2 linked regions of the Oryctolagus cuniculus genome follow. The protein of the gene in region 1 interacts with the protein of each later gene in a biochemical or structural test. Links are inferred from orthologs where the notes say so. Each region holds a gene or a part of one and is shown on either strand. Other genes may lie near its edges. The genes, in order: RACGAP1 and ECT2.

Region 1 (3,819 bases):
CATGTTACATTTGAATACAGTGCTTTAGACTTTCAGAACATTTTAACTTCGTACCATGTGATCCCATTAAAATCCCAAGCAAGCAAACTAGGTCTCGGGGAGTTAATTGACATGTTTGTGCTGTGTGTTAGTAGGAGGTGAGTTTAATGCGCGGCTTTTCTGACCCCTCCTCAGCACGTTCTTTCCATAGTTCCAGGCTGTTGACATCTAGCTGTATGACCTTAGGCAAGTTACTCAAGCTCTTTTTGATTTTATTTCTTTATCTTAAAATGAAGAAACTAAAACCTACCTTAGAGGATTGTGTGAGAATTACATAATATGTATAAAAGGTTTGGGAAGTTGTTTGGCACATACCAAATGCTCAGTGAATGTTGGTTGATGATGATATTTTCTCGCTTATGCCGCTCTGTTCCGTCTCTCATGTTTTATCCTCAGGTTATTAAGCCTGAATCCTGTGTTCCATGTGGGAAGCGAATCAAATTTGGCAAACTCTCTCTGAAGTGTCGAGATTGTCGTGTGGTTTCACATCCAGAATGCCGGGAGCGCTGTCCTCTTCCCTGCATTCCCACTCTGATGGGCACACCTGTCAAGATAGGAGAGGTATGACTTGTGGATTTGTCTGCTTATTTAATTTTTTTTTTTTTTTGGACAGGCAGAGTAGATAGAGAGAGAGAGACAGAGAGAAAGGTCTTCCTTTTGCCGTTGGTTCACCCTCCAGTGGCCGCCATGGCTGGCAGCTGCGGCTGGCGCACCGTGCTGATCCGATGGCAGGAGCCAGGTGTTTCTCCTGGTCTCCCATGGGGTGCAGGGCCCAAGCACTTGGGCCATCCTCCACTGCCTTCCCAGGTCACAGCAGAGAGCTGGCCTGGAAGAGGGGCAACCGGGACAGAATCCGGCGCCCTGACCAGGACTGGAACCCGGAGTGCCGGCGCCGCAGGTGGAGGATTAGCCTATTGAGCTGCGGCGCTGGCCATTAATAATCGTTTTAAGCCAAAATCCCCTCGCCATGATACACTATGGAAAAATTCAGTTATGTAGAGGAATTAGTGTAACTAACTCCTGCTTCCTGTTACTTAACTTCCTGTTAGTTAACTGTTGTTACTCATGTCTTTTTTTGTTGTTGTTAAGATTTATTTATTTGAGAGGTAGAGTTAGAGAAGGAGAGACAGAAAGATCTTCCATCTGCTGGTTCACTCCCTAAATGGCTGCAGCAGCTGGAGTTGGGCTGATCCAAATCCAGGAGCTTAGTCCGGGTCTCCCATGTGGGTGCAGGGGCCCAAGCACTTGGGCCATCTTCTACTGCTTTCCCAGGCCATAATAGAGAACTGGATCAGAAGTGGCCAGTGCAGTGGTGTAGCGGGTAAAGTCACCGCCTGCAGTGCTAGCATCCCATATGGGCACCGATTCAAGTCCCGGCTGCTCCACTTCTGATCCAGCTCTCTGCTCTGGCCTGGGAAAGCAGTAGAAGATGGCCCAAGTCCTTGGGCCCCTGCACCCACATATGGGACCCTGAAGAAGCTCCTGGCTCCTGGCTTCAGATCAGCACAGCTCTGGCCATTGTGGCCTACTGGGGAGTGAACCAGCGGATGGAAGAATTCTCTCTCTCTCTCTGCCTCTGCTCTCTCTGTGTAACTCTGACTTTCAAAGAAATAAATAAATCTTTCAAAAAAAAACAAAAAGAAGTGGAGCAGCCGGGACTTATCTGGTGCCCATATGGAATGCCAGCCCCCTCATGTCAGTTCTTAACTTATCAGTATCCTCACCTCTCCTTGCTGATCCTGCCTATTGAGTTATTTTGAGGCAGTTTACAGCCATCATGTAATTTCTTTTTTTTTTTTTTCAATAAGATTTATTTATTTATTTATTTGAAAGTCAGAGTTACACAGAGAGAGGAGATGCAGAAAGAGGGAGGTCTTCCATTTGCTGATTCACTCCCCAATTGGCCGCAGTGGCTGGAGATGTGCCGATCTGAAGCCAGGAGCTTCTTTCAGGTCTCCCATGCAGGTGCAGGGGCCCAAGGACTCGGTCCATCTTCCACTGCTTTCCCAGGCCATAGCAGAGAGCTGCATCAGAAGTGGAGCAGCTGGGACCCGAACCGGCACCCATATTTGATGCCGGCACTGCAGGCAGTGGCTTTATCCACTATGCCACAGCACCGGCCTCCATTATGTAATTTCGTCTGTGAATATCTGTCATGTTATATATTCCATACTAGGTTATTGAGACGAGGTTTCTCATTTCTAAAAATCAGTTAAATCAGTTAAATTTATTATGTAAGCACCATTAGCAAGGATCAATGCAAAGTAACTGTGCTGCTATCCACTCTGTCATAAATTAAAGGTTATTTCCCCCTAATCTTAAGAGTTCTTATTTGCACATCTGCTGTTGCACAAATTCTCTGTAATATAGAACTCTGTTAGAGGGCCGTGAAACTCTCCTCTGCAGGTAGGTTGGTATCATGGTCATCTATGAGGTGTGTTAAATCATTTTTTATACTGCAAAAAGTTAAATTACAAAGAAGGTTTTTTGTTTTTGTTTTTGTTTTTTTAAGATTAATTGATTTGGCCGGCGCCACGGCTCACTAGGCTAATCCTCTGCCTGCAGCTCTGGCACCCCAGGTTCTAGTCCCAGTTGGGGCACCGGATTCTGTCCTGGTTGCTCCTCTTCCATTCCAGCTCTCTGTTGTGGCCCGGCAAGGCAGAGGAGGATGGCCCAAGTACTTGGGTCCCTGCACCCGCATGGGAGACTAGGAGGAAGTACCTGGCTCCTGGTTTCGGATCGGTGCAGCGCTGGCCGTGGCAGCCATTTGCGGGGTGAACCAACGGAAGGAAGATCTTTCTCTCTGTCTCTCTCTCACTGTCTAAACTCTGCCTGTCAAAAAAATAAATAAAATAAATAAATAAATATTGATTGATTTGAAAGGCAGAGTTACAGAGAGAAGGGGAGAAAGAGAGAGCACAATATATCTTCCATCCCGTGGTTCGGTCCCCAAATGGCCCCAATAGCCAGGGCTTGGCCAGGTAGAAGCCAAGAGCCTGGAACTCCATCTGGGTCTCCCACATGGTTGCAGGGGTCCAAAAACTTGGCTGTCTTCTGTTGCTTTCCCAGGCACGTTAGCAGGGAGCTGGATTGGAATTTGAGCAGCCGAGACTCAAACTGGCGGCCATATGACTGCTGGCATTGTGTGCAGTGGCTTAACTCACTGTGCCACAACGCCAGCCCCAGGAGTTTTTCCTTTTTACAGTATTTATTTTAAAAGCCATACCTATAATTATATTATATTATATTATATTATATTATATTATATTATATTATATTATAAGCCATACCTGTAATCTCATTATTGCTCATTATTGTTGAAGAGAAAGAGGTAATGGTTATGGCTGATAGTCTTATTACCTGTTTGCAAGGGGTTTTTAGGACCATGAATTGGTCCTAGTTTGGAGGTAGGAAAAGAAACTGAGGATCTGTGTTTGATATATGCTTTGGCAATAGCAATTTCTTTTTTTTTTTTTTTTTAAGATTTATTTATTTATTTAAAAGTCAGAGTTACACAGAGAGAGAAGGAGAGGCAGAGAGAGAGGTCTTCCATCCTCTGGTTCACTTCTCAGTTGGCCACAACGGCCAGAGCTGTGCCAATCCGGAGCCAGGAACTTCCTCCAGGTCTCCCATGTGGGTGCAGGGACCCAAGGACTTCGGCCGTCTTCCAGTGCTTTCCCAGGCCATTAGCAGAGAGCTGGATAGGAAGTGGAGCAGCTGGGACTGGAACTGGTGCCCATGTGGGATGCTGCACCATAGGTGGCAGCTTTACCCACTATG
Region 2 (3,819 bases), on another chromosome or scaffold:
AAAAGCAGTAGAGGATGGCCCAAGACCTTGGGTCCCTGCACCCATGTGGGAAATATGGAAGAAACTCCAGGCTCCTGGCTTCAGGTCAGCCCCACAGCCATTTGGAAAGTGAACCAGCGGATGGAAGACTCCCTCTCTCTCTGCTTCTCTGTAACTAAATGCCTTTCAAATAAATAAATAAAAATCTTTTTTTTTTAAAAGGATTTTTGTTTGTTTCAGGGATTTCTGTGCAACAATTGATGACTTTAGAAATGAATTTAAAGTTCCTCCATTTCAAGATTGCATTTTGAGTTTCCTGGGGTTTTCAGATGAAGAAAAAGCCAATATGGAAGAGATGACTGAAATGCAAGGTAAATTTTAACATAATTTAAAAGTTATGTATATTTCACTTCATCTGTCTTCTTAATCTTTTCTAATGATATGCCTCTTAATAAAATTTTGAGTTTGGAAATAATTAGTTTGGCTTATTTATACTTGCATGCATTTCTCTGTAGGAGGTAAATATTTGCCAGTTGGAGATGAAAGATGTACTCACCTTATTGTTGAAGAGAATATAGTAAAAGAACTTCCATTTGAACCTTCGAAGAAACTTTATGTTGTCAAGCAAGAGGCAAGTAATTCTAGAATGAAATTGGATTAAAAATTATTTATTTATTTGAAAGGCATAGGGACAGAGATAGAAATATCTCCAATCCACTGGTTACTTTTCCAACTGCACAGTAGCTGGGGCTGGGGCTGGGCCAAGCCAAAGCCAGGAGTTTGGAAAGCAGTTTGGATCTTTCGTGTGGGTGGCAGAGACTCAACTACTTGAGCCATCACTGGGACCTCTCAGGGTCTGTGTTAACAGGAAGCTGGAATCAGAAGTAGAGTTGGGATTTAAACCCAAGCACTCTACTATGAGTACCCACTGTGTCAAATACCCACCTTTAAATAGATTTTTTAAAACATTAATAATAGCATGTCTGGTAAGGCAAATTTAAACAATTAATTCAAATGTTCTTTCACCTAGTGGTTCTGGGGAAGCATTCAAATGGATGCCCGAGCTGGAGAAACTATGTATTTGTACGAAAAGGTATGTGTTTTGTCCTTTAGTCATTTGTTCTGTCAACTTGATTATATAAAAATAACACTTTTCTATCTGAAAGGTTTAGAGAACATGATATACTGTGATCTTTTTTGACATGTTTAGGAATTTAAGAAAAATTGGATATCAAGTAAATTCTTAGTCTACTTAGATTTAAGTAGAAGTACTCAATGTAATGGATATTACTTAATACTAATATGCATCATTTTTTTTGCTAATTCTTAGTGGTATCATTAAGAAAAATAACATCTTAAGAAACTTGGAAGCTTAAGGGAAAAACAGATTTGTAAGCAGTTACAGTGCAGAATAATATATGCTACAATTGAGTAATGCAGGATTGAAAATAAATTTTGAACCAATTTACTAAGCTAAGTGGTAAGTGTATTCAGGTTAGAATAGCAGGCGAAAGGATATGAAATCTTGGGAATACATTAAAATAGTAAGTACTTTAACACGACTATTTCTTTTAGTATGGCTTTAAAAAGAGTATAGGATAAACTTCAACGGCAGGATCAAGAAGTTTTTAAAGTGTTAAATAGCTTAAATTTAAGAATTAGGAACTACTGATGAATATTAATAAATATCACTGAAAAGATGATGTTAATAGTAGGTTAGGCAAGGAAAACCCAGCCTGTCTGCTGAATCTCCATGGAAGTTAGTGCCATTCGTCAAAATGGCATTGAGGTATAGAAATAGGCTTTAAGAGAAAGCTTACTTAGCCGGCGCCGCAGCTCACTAGGCTAATCCTCTGCCTTGTGGCGCCGGCACCCCGGGTTCTAGTCCCAGTCGGGGCGCCGGATTCTGTCCCGGTTGCCCCTCTTCCAGGCCAGCTCTCTGCTGTGGCCAGGGAGTGCAGTGGAGGATGGCCCAAGTCCTTGGGCCCTGCACCCCATGGGAGACCAGGAGAAGCACCTGGCTCTTGCTTTCGGATCAGTGTGGTGCGCCGGCCGCGGTGGCCATTGGAGGGTGAACCAATGGCAAAGGAAGACCTTTCTCTCTGTCTCTCTCACTGTCCACTCTGCCTGTCAAAAAAAAAAAAAAAAAAAAAGAGAGAAAGCTTACTTCAGTTTGGGATTTAATAAAGTGAAAATGAATAATGATAAAATAATGAGTAAAATATTGAAGATGAGATATGAGTTTATTATTGTGTTTTCTTCAGGCTGTACTGTTCAGTGTTGTCTTAATATAGATTTGAAAAACTGTTTCAGATTTAGAGAAAGAGCTATTAAAATCAAGTGTTTTCAGCAAATATTGGAGGGTATCATGTCCAGGCACTGCACTAAATGTTAGAGTTACAGTGAACAGAATGTGAGTGGTCACTGCCATTGTGGAGTTTATGGCTGAATGGAAGAGTAGAAAGTAGGTAAATAATAGATGAATAGACTAATAGATGAATATGTGATAGGACTATTAAAGGGAAAAATATGAGGTGGTAAGGGTTAGACAATTAACAGTGATGTCTTGACTATTATGTTTTATAAAGCTTCTAAATTTCTTGGCAGGGTGTAGGATTGTACAAAAATTCAGATTTTGTCAGACTCAAATATATTTTTCTCTTGTTCCTATCTCAGTAAAGAACCATAGAAGTAAAATTGAACTTTTCTGCTTCTGATTGCAGGCTAATACTCCTGAGCTCAAGAAGTCAGTGTCACTACTGTCTCTAAGTACGCCAAACAGCAATCGCAAAAGACGACGTTTAAAAGAGACACTCGCTCAGCTTTCAAGAGAGACAGATTTATCACCTTTCCCTCCCCGTAAACGGCCGTCAGCTGAACATTCCCTTTCTATAGGATCACTTCTGGATATCTCTAATACACCAGACTCTAGCATTAACTATGGAGGTAATTCACATTTTAAAAAGTTGATCTTTATAATTTAGTGGAACGGAATATAGTTAAAGTATAAGTAAATCTCTACCAAGTTGAATATGAAGGGCTTTACCTTGAGTTACCTTTGTTCAAATGGAGAACATACTTGAAAAGATAAGCATAATAATGCTTTTTATTTAGTGACTACTTACTATATGCCAAGTGCTTTATGTATTTCATATACTTATAGTAGGTTTTGTTATCCTTATTTAACATGACTGAACTGAAGTACAGAGAAGTAATTTACTCAGACTTTTGTGCTAGGGAGTAGTAGAGCTATTCAAAAAGAAAATTAACACTAAGTGGAATCACACAAATATGTGAGTTATGGAGAAAATAGAATGAAGTTAGGAAAGGATAAATTTACTGACACAGGAAGGCTGCAATTAATTCCTCTCTCTTTGATCATCAATAATTCCTTATCTTTTTATTTGCATTTTGCAAGCAAATATATTGTCTTTTTTAAAATCTATTAATATTTCTGTTTAGCTGCATATGTTGATAAGATACTAATCGGTTACATATTGAAGAAAACATGCAGTACAGAATATAGAAAAAAACGGTTCTATCCCCTCTTACAGCAAAAATGACCTCAAGGGCCAGAGCTGGGCCAATCTGAAGCCAGGAGCCAGGAGTTTCTTTCTGGTCTTCCATGTGGTTTCAGGGGCCCAAGTACTTGGCCATCTTCTGCTGCTTTCCCAGGTGCATTAGTAGGGTGCTGTATCAGAAGTAGAGCAGCCGGGACTTGAACCATTGTCCATATAGGATGCTGGTGCTGCAGATACCTGATTTTCCACAGCACTGGCTCCCAATATTTTCTAAATTTAAGAAAGAAAAAAATCAAAATCCTTGCTTGACATCCTACTT

Evidence for each region.
Region 2: the proteins of RACGAP1 (region 1) and ECT2 form a complex in vitro, tested with the Homo sapiens proteins (3 studies listed by BioGRID and IntAct, with this or other methods). The link is inferred for Oryctolagus cuniculus from reciprocal best matches to the Homo sapiens genes RACGAP1 and ECT2.

Annotation. Positions count from the first base shown.
Region 1 is NC_091442.1:53,338,409-53,342,227, reverse strand, and holds part of RACGAP1 (rac GTPase-activating protein 1), read left to right. Parts: intron 1-435; coding exon 436-600; intron 601-3,819.
Region 2 is NC_091435.1:107,467,789-107,471,607, reverse strand, and holds part of ECT2 (protein ECT2), read left to right. Parts: intron 1-219; coding exon 220-350; intron 351-494; coding exon 495-610; intron 611-1,009; coding exon 1,010-1,072; intron 1,073-2,702; coding exon 2,703-2,925; intron 2,926-3,819. UniProt on the Homo sapiens protein: Guanine nucleotide exchange factor (GEF) that catalyzes the exchange of GDP for GTP. Promotes guanine nucleotide exchange on the Rho family members of small GTPases, like RHOA, RHOC, RAC1 and CDC42.